Caenorhabditis elegans: one gene and its partner. The protein of the gene in region 1 interacts with the protein of each later gene in a pairwise test. Each region holds a gene or a part of one and is shown on either strand. Other genes may lie near its edges.

What was found. The genes of interacting proteins can lie anywhere in the genome.
Region 2: the proteins of ufl-1 (region 1) and cdkr-3 interact in a two-hybrid assay, tested with the Caenorhabditis elegans proteins (one study listed by BioGRID).

What each region holds. Positions count from the first base shown.
Region 1 is NC_003282.8:7,032,196-7,038,808, forward strand, and holds ufl-1 (E3 UFM1-protein ligase 1 homolog), read right to left. Parts: upstream 4,665-6,613; coding exon 4,591-4,664; intron 4,396-4,590; coding exon 4,278-4,395; intron 4,277-4,277; exon of another isoform or gene 4,184-4,276; coding exon of another isoform or gene 4,049-4,183; intron 3,994-4,048; coding exon of another isoform or gene 3,934-3,993; exon of another isoform or gene 3,928-3,933; intron 3,436-3,927; coding exon 3,281-3,435; intron 3,126-3,280; coding exon 2,886-3,125; intron 2,837-2,885; coding exon 2,628-2,836; intron 2,583-2,627; coding exon 2,436-2,582; intron 2,380-2,435; coding exon 2,096-2,379; intron 2,055-2,095; coding exon 1,839-2,054; intron 1,793-1,838; coding exon 1,633-1,792; intron 1,582-1,632; coding exon 1,287-1,581; intron 1,006-1,286; coding exon 825-1,005; intron 776-824; coding exon 647-775; 3' UTR 501-646; downstream 1-500. Other genes in the region: nabp-1 (OB domain-containing protein), read right to left, coding at 177-236, 286-364; C06G3.3 (uncharacterized protein), read left to right, coding at 3,934-3,993, 4,049-4,183; cogc-2 (Conserved oligomeric Golgi complex subunit 2), read right to left, coding at 4,888-5,157, 5,255-5,339, 5,385-5,633, 5,681-5,797, 5,843-6,246, 6,293-6,613. UniProt on the Caenorhabditis elegans protein: E3 UFM1-protein ligase that mediates ufmylation of target proteins.
Region 2 is NC_003283.11:20,268,288-20,276,169, forward strand, and holds cdkr-3 (CDK5RAP3 protein homolog), read left to right. Parts: upstream 1-1,819; 5' UTR 1,820-1,829; coding exon 1,830-1,875; intron 1,876-1,926; coding exon 1,927-2,058; intron 2,059-3,566; coding exon 3,567-4,602; intron 4,603-7,045; coding exon 7,046-7,301; 3' UTR 7,302-7,445; downstream 7,446-7,882. Other genes in the region: prmt-1 (Protein arginine N-methyltransferase 1), read right to left, coding at 473-1,093, 1,148-1,417. UniProt on the Caenorhabditis elegans protein: Substrate adapter of E3 ligase complexes mediating ufmylation, the covalent attachment of the ubiquitin-like modifier UFM1 to substrate proteins, and which is involved in various processes, such as ribosome recycling and reticulophagy (also called ER-phagy).

The DNA.
Region 1 (6,613 bases):
TCCATAAATAAATATATTTTTATCTAAAAACTATGAAAATTCGAAGGAAATTTAAATTACAGTACTGCTTAAAGGCGCATACCTTTTCGAACTCCACAAAAATTGTCGTTCCGAGATTGAAAATCGAATCGTTTTTTGGAGCAAAAATCGCTAAATTTCGGTTTATCTGATCTTACCCGATGCGTCAGCCACTTTCATTGAAATAATTGTTCCCGTCTGTGTTCTGCGATGAATCCCTTAAAATTTATTCATTTTTATAAATTCTTTCTGAAAATCAAAGGATACCTGGATCTAGAACAATTACAGTAACCGAAAACGAATTCATGTTTGGCTGCAATTGGTGGAGAGGTATGTCACCGGACATCTGAAGAAGATAAATTCAAAAAAATTGAGTTATGAAGTTTTTCGAGGATTAAACTTTGCTGTGAATATTAATCAAAATCTACAGCAGAAGAGATCCGAGCACAACGACCATCAAAATTTGCGATCTATTGAAAAGTAATTGAAATTGGGCTGTTTATGAAAGCTACCTTCTGACTAAAAAAACAATTACAGATTTAATTTTAACAGAATAAAACACGTGCAATACATTCATATTTCAGTTCTCAATAAATTAATTAAACAAGTTATACGAATTATTTCGATATTATGGCATAATTGACTGTTTCAGACTAGAAATATCATTAACGAGCATTTCTTTGGCCACTTCGTCGCCCTTGTTCTTGATGCAAGTAACTACGCCTTTTTGGCATGCCTGAAGTAGGTCGAAGACATTCTGGAAATAGATATTCTGATAGATATATAGATGTTTAGTATTCTATTACCTCGGGGCATAAATCCTTAATTTGAGCAACAAGTTGAGAAACAAACTTTCCGCTGGCAGTTGTTGGGCGTCCAGCCTTGGCTAAAATATAAAGAACAGACAGAAGAAGAGTTGTTGCTGGCTCCGTTTGAGAACAAAGTTGCTCATGAAGTTCCGCTGTAATTTTAGCTCCAACTTCGGCTCTGAAAAAATTTGTTTTTTTTTAAATTTTAAATGTCACTTTTTTTCTAAAAAAAATATACTTGAAATTGTGAAACAATTTCAATTTCGATCAATAATATTTAAAAATTGCAAAATTATTCGTATTTCGCTTTTTTTTTCAAAAAATTCGAATTCAGCCCTGTTTCCAGCAGCTGCGACAAATTTTGAAATTTAAAATTTTAGCTTATTTTTTTCCAAAATTTTAACTCACTATAAATAATTTTTAGATATTTTTTGGAAAGAATTATGAAAATAATTTTACCTTCCTTTCTTGTCGACTTTTTTCAGTGCCAACGAAGTTGCACTTGGAGCCGAACAATTATAAACAGCATCATGAAATTTATCCAAAGCATCATCATCTGTAGATTTCAGCGACGCAAACACTGATCGAATCGGATCTCTGAGCATTTCAGGAAGGTTTTCAATTGTTTCTTCTCGCTGTTTTTCCTTCAATTGGTGTGCATTATCTACTCCCATAACATATGAAAGCAACGCCAATGCAATTTCATTTCCAACTGTTTTCAGAAGATATTGCCGAAGATCTGAGCCAAGGGGATCTGAAATTCAAAATAAATTATTTTTCTATTCAGTTTTAAAGTTTTTTCTACCAGCAAAAGTGGAAGTAGCCGTCTCAAATGTGTTAAATGAATCGTAAAGTTGTCTACACTTATCGCCGATTGCAGACAATGACTTTTTGGAATTAGCGACGCTGGCAACCAATTGATGTGCTTGAATGTCTTGAACTTTTTTGCGAAGTAGCGTTGTTGTCTGAAACATAAAAATTATTTATTTCTGAAGAATCCATGAGATGGACCTCTTGATTCAACTTTTCCACAATTACTGAAAGAATTTCTTCGGGTACTGATTGACTTTCACGAAGCCATATTTCCAGTTCCTCACTATTTATGGAAATATTCGCCGACAAATTGGATGAAGTTGAAGGAGCAGACGATTTCGAACCACCTTTCACACTTTTTGCGTTTTTCTTTCCTCCTTTTCCACCTTTCTTTCCATCTCCCCAGTCATCCGTCTGAAAAATTAAATAGTTTTTTTTCAATTCAATTTGTATACCTCTTCTTGAACTTTCACTGCTGCCTTGGCTCCGCCTTGTTTCTTTTTCTCCGCTTCTAATCGATCAACTTCCTCATGTGCTCTGACGTCCAACAATTTGTCAATTGAACGCAGAGCTTCAGTCAAAACTGCTCCCTTGAACACAAAACCCTCTGCAAAATGCGAATCTTTTTCCACATTTGCAACTTTTGACCCGATTTCATCCTCATCAGCAGTATCTAGAGGAAGATTTAGAGATTGAAGAGCCAAATGCACGTCGGATATTCCGCTTTTTTGTAAGTCTTCTGAAAATTTAAAAATTCAATTAAGTAATAAAATTCAAAACAATTAAACAAAAAACCTTGAACAGCATTAATACATTGATCCATGAGTTCTTTTGTCATAAACATAGATCTCATACTGACAAGTTTTTTGAATTCAGATGATCCAAGAACTTCTTCGAGAGCTGGTTTTGCATCTACTCCTAGAGTTTTTAGAGTTGAAATTTCTGGAATTTAAAGAAATTAAAAGATAAACAAATAGATGATCATACCTAAAAATTCATTCTGTCTATATTGATTCAAAACGCACGACTTCACAAGATGATCGTACATCATTGGACGATACGAGCAGGAAGGTGATGTACGAGAACCGATTAAAGTACCAGGAATTTCGCCGAGAGATTGAAGATTTTCGAACGCAATCCAAAATCGTTTCGGTGTGAGACCAACTCGTTTTTGGATAGTTGAAATAGGAGTGATTCTGTTTGGAAAAAACATTATTTGAACGGCAATGGAAAACAGATTCTCACTTAGTTAATGCAATCAGAATAGCGCGTAGAACCAATTGTCTGGCATTCAAAAATGAAGAAGTATAGATCGTATCCCCATCAACCACTCCTTGAAAATCAGAAGATCCCAATTTTTCGATTAGCAAGGATTGCAAAAGTTCCGATGATAGATTCCAGTGCTTGCAGAGTGCTGCAGTTGTTTGATTTCCTTGCTCATCGAGAAGTGTACGCAATTCGTTACGAAGACGATGTACGTATTCACTGAAAATTTATATTTTTTGAGTGTTCAATGAACAAATGATTTTGTCGATTTGCAATTTGCAATCGACACGTAACAATAATGAAGTCAATGTGTTCTTCTTTGTTCTTTTCCGAACTTTAGGCCTATCTAAATCACGTGAATAAACTTGACCTACGTCGCGAATATCTCTGCATTCGAAATTGTAAATTCATCATCAGTCGAAACAATCAAGCGCGAAGTCTTCTCGATATGATCGAAATCTATGTTAAGAGCAACTGCGATATCAGTGAGAGAAGCACGTCCTCCAGCGGCTATGCACTCGTTTTTTATCTGAAAAATGGATTGATGAACTTGAAACTTTGGAAAATATTCAGCCTGTGTAATTTTCCAATTATTCTGCCAAAATACGGTAGCCGGTCTCGAAGCGACATTATTATCTTATACACAAAGAGCAACGCGCCTTTAAAGATTACTGTAATTATTCGTGTGTAGATAATATTTTCCAGATTTTCAAAACGTAAATGACACATTTTTGCTTACAAATATTTATTTAACTACTTTTTTCTGTGATACTTTATAATAAAAATTAATTGTTCTTCTTTCATATTTATTCCTAACCGTAAATTTATCCTCAATAACAAATCGAAAACCAAGGCTGCTGTCAAAATGAAAACATGATCACATGTTTTGCTGCTTCCAGTTTATTCTGTACTCACATTTCTGCATTTGTGTAAACATAAAAGTTCATTGCGGTCAACAAAAAGGCGGAGTTTGTGAGAAAAAAAAGAAAGAATAGATAGACATTTTTATTTTCTCAAACACTCAACAATGCCCAATCCATCTCCCGCAATTCTAATGCCAAAGTCTATATTAAAGAAACCTGATCAAGTGAGCCTAAGCTGTTTGGAATGTTAGTATTCTTTTAAAAAAAAGGAAATTTCAGAGCCAACACGAGTCACCATCAAATTCTCCAGTTTCTCCATCACCCCAAGAAGTTCCACGTGGCAAAAAAGAATGGTGGCTTCCATTTAATATACCATTTCATAATGAGATTTTTCGAAAAAATTCAGGGTTCTGAAATTTAAGAAACGACTACATATTGGTCTCATCTACCAATATTTTACTTTTATTTTCATTTTTTTTTTTTGAATAAAAAATTTCTGCCCTCTCACCTCAGTTTCCAAGTGGTTTTTAGTTACATAACTATGCCCATCTCTAGTATAGACCACGTCAATTCGATGAGAAGCGATAAGTTTTTGAAGGACTTCAATGCAATTCACCTCGGAGAGCCTTAAAGAATAATTTTTTAAAATTATTCTACAATTGAGAATTTTAGTGAAAAATTGTTAATACAGATGAGATAAATAATTAAATTTTTGATACTAAAACCTTATTAATTTTTTGTTGTTTTTAGGGCAAATGGTGTATGTGCTATCATTTAGTATCAAATATATAAAATGGCCAAGAATCAATGATATTTCTCACTTTTTAGATGATTGTGACAGTTGAACTCTCTGCAAATCTGATGCAAGTTTCTGAATATCTGCCCAGGAAGTCATCTGAAATATTTACCACTTTAATATATCAAATGAAAAAGAAAGAAAAAGAAATGAATCGATGGATTTTTAACCGAACTTTTAAGAAAGTGAACACAAATACGATGCTATACACTTTTTATTCCAATACCATGAACCCATATTAAGGCAATAGACGATTTTAAAGACTTCAACCCATTTGTTAAAATAAAATGTACATGTAAATAAATAATCACATAAAATTAATTCAAGCATTCCCCGCTTCTTCGTTCTGATTTTTCTCTTGTACAATCGCCGAACGTGCATCTTTGTCAAATCGATTGACGACTTCTTGTAATCCGGTGAGATCAGCTTGTGAGAATACAAGATTTTCCGCATAGCTCAGGAAATATTTAGCATCATGATAGATTTGTTGTTTGATTTTATCGTCATCAGTAACCGTGGAGCCAGAATCAGTTGTGGTTTTCCGTTTGAATCGGGATAAAGAAGATCCTGTAGCTTCGACACTATCCAGCACCTGAAAACAAATATTTTGTTGCAATTTGCATCAATTGGAGTGGTTTATAAACTTAGCGGGAAAAAAAATTATCTCATGTGTCCAAAATAAACGTTACCTCGTTCCCTTTCCCCACGAAATAATTGAATGCTGAAAGATTAACTTTTCGAACAATTTCATCGGTGTGAGGATGTTCTTCGCAGCTGAAAAAAATACGTACAAAATTTTGTGGAAGCAATATAAACTACCATAGTTTTTCTTTCAAATTCTCAACCATTTCAATAGCTGTAACAACATATTTGGAATGCGTTGTCGGTGGTGATTTCTTCGTCCATCTGTATTGTTTAGGAACATCGGAAACTTGAGCAATTTCTTGATGAAGAACTTCGGAGAACATTTCAATAATACTATCATCAATTTGAACACAAAGACTATCAATTGATCGACCATGCTTTGTTAGGCATTGACCGAATGGAGCGGTATCCACTGTGATATCACTGAAAAAATGATATCTAAATGTAAGTAAGTATTTAAATAAACGAACTGAAATTTTCCCCAAATTGACTCCAACGCGAAATCGAAAACCAATTGATGAAGATTTCCAGTATCCGAGCGGAGAGTAACCATTGAAGTCCAATCTCTTTTTTCTTCCATGAAATAACTAGAAAACAAAATATTTTTCGTGAAGAAGAACTTTTAATCTAACTTTTTCATAGTTTGACTCCACGAGAAATGCTTTAGCAAAAGCTTCAATGTGAAATCCCATAATTTATCAACAATAGGAGGAAGATACACATCATCACTCCACACATGCTCAATTGCTGTTATAATTGCTCTTGAAACTCCGCAGTGCAGCTGAGGAGTGTTTTCTCGATTTTCAGAAGTTTCTGGCTCGGCAAACATTTCGGGAGACATCAGCTGATCGCACTGTTTTCCGAATCGATGTGTTTCTAATTTAAAATAAACTAATAAATTGAATTTATCCCTGATCGACTTAAGCATTGCACGGCAGGTATGAGAAGATGGCCAATTATCGATAAATTCTTGAGTGAGCAAGAAACATTCATGGAAAAGTCGTGTGTCACTTGGGACTGCGACGGCTCCCATACACTGAAAATACAAATAATTATGAATATAAAAAGTTATGAACGGAAACCTTATCAATAAATGTCAGAATGAACGTGAGAAGGGTTTCGTCCAGAAAACGGCGGATGTTTCCACGAAAATGTTCAGTCCCCATTTTTTCAGCCCAAGTTTCACGCATTTTTTTGACGCTTTCGAAGACTTGTTTCAAGAGTTTCAACTGATTACTTTCGTCGTGTTTCTCATTTACAAATTCGGCATACAAAAGATCAGAAACCAAGAGGGCAGTTAGTGAATGCGTACTCTCCGTTAACGATAAAATTGAATAAATGAGAGGAAGATTTTGACAATCACCGGCGGCACTTCGAACTCCTTCTGCACAGAGAACCGCTTC
Region 2 (7,882 bases), on another chromosome or scaffold:
GACTACAAACTACGAGTTTTGGGCGCTTCTAAGCTACAAACTACAAGATTTGGGCGCTGCTAAACTACAAACTACGAGTTTTGCGCGCTGCTAAGCTACAAACTACGAGCTTTGGGCGCTGCTAAGCTACAAACTACAAGATTTGGGCGCTGCTAAGCTACAAACTACGATTGTGGGCGCTGCTAGACTACAAACTACGAGTTTTGGGCGCTGCTAAGCTACAAACTACAAGATTTGGGCGCTGCTAAACTACAAACTACGAGTTTTGGGCGCCGCTAAGCTACAAACTACGAGTTTTGGGGGCTGCTAATTCATGTTTTCTTAATTTTTTGGCGAATTTTGTTTCAAAAACTGTGAAAAGGTCGATTTTCAGCCCAAAAATCGAAGTTTTTACCATTTACTGACTAAATTTGGTGAAAAACTGTTGAAAAATGGTATTTAACCCGAAAAAAAGTTATTTTTAAGCGCATACTTTAAGATAAAAGACGGTCTGCTTCCAATGAGTGTACTGTACATCTGGCCCAGTCGAGAATCCGGTTTTCTTGTGGCACTTGGAGAACTCGACGGTGAAGAAGGTGACGAAAGCTTGAATATAGTCGCTGCGAGTGCATCTCAGCTTAAAGTCCGATTTGAACGTGAGATCCTCGATTTTAACGGTGTACAAATCAACGTCCTTCAGCAGACAATTGTTGGTGTTGACCTGAGCGTTGTCGACGATATCGACGAGTGGCTCCTTGATCGCGACGTTCTTGATAGCGGACATGTTGAATCCGTAGACTGAATCCCACCAGTGGATCTTGTCCTCCTTGTACTGACGATCCTCGATAGCACAGACGTAGAGACGAGCCTTGTCCGGGAACAACATTCCATTCGGAGCCAACCATCTATCGCGGGCGACGAGCACAGTGTTGAGCATCGACTCGTAGAACAAGCAGTATCCCATCCACTCGGAAATGATGATATCGACCTTCTCAATGCCTCCTGGCAACTCGTGAACGTCCTCTACCTTCGCCTGAATCACCTCGACGATGTGGTCCAGGTTGTTGTCGGCGATTATTTTGCGGGAGGTGAGCGCCATGTTGGAGAATTCCATCTGAAGGAAAAGGAAATTTTTAAAAACCGTTCAAAAAATCCAAAAAAAACTCACCGCGAAAACCTTCTTCGCTCCAGCCTTGGCGGCGAACATGGAAAGAATTCCAGTTCCCGAGCCAACATCCATCACAACTTTGTCTTTGAACAAGTGCGAGTTATGATAGATCGAGTTCCGGTAGGTGGTGGTTCGCACCTCGTCCTTGAGCATCTCCTCGTGGATACCGAAGTGAGCGTACGAGTCGAAGTAGTAGTCCTTGCTGGTCAACTCTTTTGCAGCCGGTGCCGCCACCGGCGCATCTGCGGACTTCCCGTTTTCGGTACTCATTGTCCCGCTGGAAAAAGGTTAATTATTAAATTAATTAATGTGAGATCCACATGCTCTGAAATCCACTTTTAGGGCCAAAATTCATGTATTTTCTTGTTCGAAAAGCTTTTTAATCAAAAAATAATTAATTTTCAGCAAAAAAAACCAAAAAATCAATTGAAAATCAACTGAAAATCATGAAATTCGAGTGAAAAAGACGAAAAAAAAAGGAAAACTCATTTCAAATCAACACCTAAAAATGCGGGCGTTGCGAGACCCAACACACACGAAACCGCATGCGCCTTTAAATTTGTGTCGATTTACGCAGTGGCTGACGTGTATTTTTCCATCGAAATTTTCTTCTTTTTTTGGGAGATTTCTGAATTTAAAATTGAATTTTAAGTTAAAATTTTAATTTTTCAGATAAAAAATCATGTCAGACGACTTGCCAATCGATATTCACAGCAGTAAATTGCTTGGTAACTCGTTATCCATTAATTTTAACCCAAAAAACACCGCAAAAACTTTAGATTGGCTGGTTTCCCGTCGTCATTGCAACAAAGATTGGCAAAAAAGCGTGGTGGCGATTCGAGAAAAGATCAAACATGCCATTTTGGACATGCCGGAGTCGCCGAAAATCGTGGAGCTGCTGCAAGGAGCGTGTTAGTTGGTTTTTTGCCCAAAAAAGACCAAAAAATTGTTAAAAAACTACAAAAAGGCTCGACTACCAAGTTTTTTTTGCAAAAAATCTGATTAAAAAAAATAGTTTTTCACCAAAAACAGTCAGAAAAACGAATAAAATCTCTCTTGTCCGCAGGAGGCTTAGGCTCACCCTTGAACCAAACGGACAACCTTTACCTTTACTTTTTAAATTTACGGAAAAATGCAAAAAATTCAATAACAGTCCCATTAACAGCTCGAAATCCGGATTAGCAGCGCCCAAATCTTGTAGTTTGTAGTTTTAGCAGCGCCCAAAATTGAATTAGCAGCGCCCAAATCTTGTAGTTTGTAGTTTTAGCAGCGCCCAAAATTGAATTAGCAGCGCCCAAAACTTGTAGTTTGTAGTCTTAGCAGCGCCCAAAATTGAATTAGCAGCGCCCAAATCTTGTAGTTTGTAGTTTTAGCAGCGCCCAAAATTGAATTAGCAGCGCCCAAAACTTGTAGTTTGTAATGTTAGCAGCGCCAAACCATTTTTTTGAGAAAAATCCAATTAAATTACAGTTTTTAGTCGTTTTTCGCCAAATTTAGCGAGAAAAATCATTAAAATAGAAAAAATAATAAATTTTTCTGTCAAAAAAGCCGTAATTATTCAATTTTTAATCTAAAAATTGCCAAAAATTCAGTTTTTCACCCAAAAAAGTCAGAAAAACATATAAAATTGTGATTTTTGCGGTGAAAACCGACTATAATTTAGTTTTCGTGCCGAAATTTACGAAAAAAATGCAGAAATTTCGATAAAATTCCCATTAACAGCTCGAAATCTGGATTAGCAGCGCCCAAAACTTGTAGTTTATAGTGTTAGCAGCGCCCAAAATTGAATTAGCAGCGCCAAACTTTTTTTCTGCAAAAACCTGATAAAATAACATTTTTTTGAATTATTTTTCGCCAAATTTAGTTAGGAAAATGCATTACAATGCTATTTTTGCCGTAAAAATCTTCAAAAAATCGATTTTTATTCAATTTTTAATTTAAAAATTGCCAAAAATTCAGTTTTGCACCAAAAACAGTCAGAAAAACATATAAAATTGTGATTTTTGCGGCGAAAACCGACTATAATTTAGTTTTCGTGCCGAAATTTACGAAAAAAATGCAGAAATTTCGATAAAATTCCCATTAACAGCTCGAAATCCGGATTAGCAGCGCCCAAAACTTGTAGTTTGTAGTGTTAGCAGCGCCCAAAATTGAATTAGCAGCGCCCAAAACTTGTAGTTTGTAGTGTTAGCAGCGCCCCAAATTGAATTAGCAGCGCCAAACTTTTTTTCTGCAAAAACCTGATAAAATAACATTTTTTAAAATTATTTTTCGCCAAATTTAGTTAGAAAAATGCATTACAATGCTATTTTTGCCGTAAAAATCTTCAAAAAATCGATTTTTATTCAATTTATTTTTTTTTGACCTGAAAATTGCCAAAAATTCAGTTTTTAAGCTAAAAACTCGATTTTTTTTCCAGATATCAACTATTTCCACTGCTGCCAAATCATCGAAATCCTGCGCGACACGGAAAAAGACACGAAAAACTTTCTGGGCTTCTACTCCTCCCAGCGTATGAAGGACTGGCAGGAAATCGAGGGAATGTACAAAAAAGACAATGTCTACCTGGCAGAAGCGGCCCAAATTCTCCAGCGACTGGCCCAATACGAGATTCCGGCCTTGCGGAAACAAATCTCCAAGATGGATCAATCCGTGACAGATGCAATCAGGAAACACTCAGAATACGGGAAACAAGCCGAAGATGGCCGGAAACAATTCGAGAAGGAAATCTCCAGAATGCAGTTGAAAGGTGTTCATTTGCGAAAAGAACTGCTCGAACTCGCCGCAGATCTCCCCGCGTTCTACGAGAAAATCACCGCGGAAATCCGGAAAATCTCCGCGGCCCGCGACTACTTTCAGGCCTTCCGGGACTATATGAGCCTGGGAGCTGCTCCAAAGGATGCTGCTCCGATTCTTCCAATAATCGGGTTAATTGGAGAGCGGGGGCTTGACGTGACGACTTATGAGTGGAAGTATAACCAGAAGCCGGATAAAGTGGAAAAACCGAATTTCGAGATGCTCCTGACCGCCGCTGAGGACTCGGATGAGATCGATTTCGGCGGCGGCGATGAAATTGACTTCGGAATTGCTGCAGAAGACGATGCGGTTATTGATTTTTCCGCAGTAGTCGACCTAGTAGCAGATGACACTGGAGCAGTCGGCGAGGCAATAGCTTCAGGCCAGGATGCTCTTCACCTTCTCGAGAACTCGGAAGCTCAAAAAGCTGTGAAGCACGAGCTCATCGAGCTTTTAGCCTTTCTCTCGATGCGTTTGGACGATGAAACTCGAGAAACGACGGCCGATGTTCTGATCCGTGGAGCCGAAAAACGTCCCGATGGCGTGGCAGCCGTTACGGAGAAGCGCCTGAAGACGTGGATTACGGAAGTGGAGGGGATTTTGAAGGAGCTGGAGAATCCGCAGAAAGTGCACTTGTTCAAGATTCGTGGATCTCCGCAGTGCGTTTGCAATTTCAAGTGGTTTCGGGAGGAAAACCAACTGAAAATATGACATTTTATTATGATTATGATTAAAAATCGCCTTTTCACTGCAGAAAAACTCCGAAAAATCACTAAATTCGACCAAAATTCGATAAAACTGCCGGAAAAAGTTTTGGCGCTGCTAAACTACAAACTACAAGATTTGGGCGCTGCTAAATCGATTTTGGGCGCTGCTAAACTACAAACTACAAGAATTGGGCGCTGCTAATACAATTTCGGGCGCTGCTAAACTACAAACTACAAGATTTGGGCGCTGCTATTCGATTTTGGGCGCTGCTAATTCGATTTTGGGCGCTGCTAAACTACAAACTACAAGATTTGGGCGCTGCTAATTCGATTTTGGGCGCTGCTAAACTACAAACTACAAGATTTGGGCGCTGCTAATTCGATTTTGGGCGCTGCTAAACTACAAACTACAAGATTTGGGCGCTGCTAAACTACAAACTACAAGATTTGGGCGCTGCTAAGCTACAAACTACAAGATTTGGGCGCTGCTAAACTACAAACTACTAGATTTGGGCGCTGCTAAACTACAAACTACAAGATTTGGGCGCTGCTAAACTACAAACTACTAGATTTGGGCGCTGCTAATTCGATTTTGGGCGCTGCTAAACTACAAACTACAAGATTTGGGCGCTGCTAATACAATTTTGGGCGCTGCTAAACTACAAACTACTAGATTTGGGCGCTGCTAAACTACAAACTACAAGATTTGGGCGCTGCTAAACTACAAACTACAAGATTTGGGCGCTGCTAATACAATTTTGGGCGCTGCTAAACTACAAACTACTAGATTTGGGCGCTGCTAAACTACAAACTACTAGATTTGGGCGCTGCTAATTCGATTTTGGGCTCTGCTAAACTACAAACTACAAGATTTGGGCGCTGCTAATACAATTTTGGGCGCTGCTAAACTACAAACTACTAGATTTGGGCGCTGCTAATTCGATTTTGGGCGCTGCTAAACTACAAACTACAAGATTTGGGCGCTGCTAATTCGATTTTGGGCGCTGCTAATTCGATTTTGGGCGCTGCTAAACTACAAACTACAAGATTTGGGCGCTGCTAAACTACAAACTACAAGATTTGGGCGCTGCTAAGCTACAAACTACAAGATTTGGGCGCTGCTAATACAATTTTGGGCGCTGCTAAACTACAAACTACTAGATTTGGGCGCTGCTAATTCGATTTTGGGCGCTGCTAAACTACAAACTACAAGATTTGGGCGCTGCTAATTCGATTTTGGGCGCTGCTAATTCGATTTTGGGCGCTGCTAAACTACAAACTACAAGATTTGGGCGCTGCTAAACTACAAACTACAAGATTTGGGCGCTGCTAAGCTACAAACTACAAGATTTGGGCGCTGCTAAACTACAAACTACTAGATTTGGGCGCTGCTAAACTACAAACTACTAGATTTGGGCGCTGCTAAACTACAAACTACTAGATTTGGGCGCTGCTAAACTACAAACTACTAGATTTGGGCGCTGCTAAACTACAAACTACTAGATTTGGGCGCTGCTAAACTACAAACTACTAGATTTGGGCGCTGCTAAACTACAAACTACTAGATTTGGGCGCTGCTAAACTACAAACTACTAGATTTGGGCGCTGCTAAACTACAAACTACTAGATTTGGGCGCTGCTAAACTACAAACTACTAGATTTGGGCGCTGCTAAACTACAAACTACTAGATTTGGGCGCTGCTAATTCGATTTTGGGCGCTGCTAAACTACAAACTACAAGATTTGGGCGCTGCTAATTCAATTTTGGGCGCTGCTAATTCGATTTTGGGCGCTGCTAAACTACAAACTACAAGATTTGGGCGCTGCTAATTCAATTTTGGGCGCTGCTAATACAATTTTGGGCGCTGCTAAACTACAAACTACAAGATTTGAGCGCTGCTGACCGATTTTGGGCGCTGCTAAACTACAAACTACAAGATTTGGGCGCTGCTAACCTACAAACTACAAGATTTGGGCGCTGCTAACCTACAAACTACACATTTTTGGCTTGCAAATTGATTAAAAGTGGTATTTTTACATCAAAAGTTTCTGAAAATCAATAATTCCAAACAAAAATCGATATTTTTCCGATTAAAAAATGTTTTCTGACTCAAAATTCCTGATTTAAAGCACGAAACTTCGCATTTCCTTGGAAAAACTGTTGAGAAAATCATAATTCTCAAGGTTTAAGTGCAAAATTTGTACTGAAAAATGTGAAATTACTGCGAAATGCGAAAAAGTACTTCGAAAAACTGAAATTTTGCATTTAAAATCTGCGAAAAAAGGTTTTTTTTTTCATTTTTAACCAAAAATTGGCTAATTCAATTTTGGGCGCTGCTAGACTACAAACTACAACATTTTGGAGCTGCTAAATCTAATTTTTGCCTTTTTCCAGATACGTGGAGCAAGTAGTGGAGGAACTCGAAAAAAAACGTGACATGGAGCATCGTTACAAGCGCCTGCAGACCCTAATGACTGAAAATCAAGAAACCGCCCGCCAATCGGTCACCAAATCCAACGTTGAGCTGAAAACGATTGTGGAGAGCACACGTGTGCTCCAAAAACAAATTGAAGCCGAAATTTCGAAGAAATACAACGGTCGACGTGTCAATCTGATGGGCGGAATCAATCAGGCGCTGGGAGGAAATTGAAATTTTTTTCAAAATTTTTTTTCTTGTTTTTTGGATTTTATTTGATTTTATTTTTAATTGCACCCAAATGATTGTATTTTTGATTGTAGTAAAAATTAATTTATTAATGTTTTTTTTTAACTTTGAGTCCCTCCCAGAAAAGTTAAATTAAAAATTAATTTATTTACCCAGCCAAGCTTCTCGTTTTTTGCTTACTACCTCGGCGAGATATTTGCTTTTTTACTTGATTTAAGTGATACTGTCTTGACGATGAGCGCAAACATAATTTTGACATTTTCTAGACAATAGAACAAGTGCTCCGATTTTTTTGTTTGCAAAAAACTGGAATTTCCTAAGGGATTTTTTTCTAATTTTAGATTTTCCTGTTAGTTTGGCATTAATTTAGACTGAATTTTCAGATTCTGCACAAAATTCTGACCTAAAAGTTATCTACTTTTGAGAATTTTTGTGAAAACTTCTACTTTCAGGCTTTTAGGCCAGAAGCAAATAGTTTCCGGGCCATAACTTAACACATAGGCTTCGGAAATGGAAACCAGTATGAAATTCAGAATGCCCGTAGAATTCTGAACAGATTTGACACC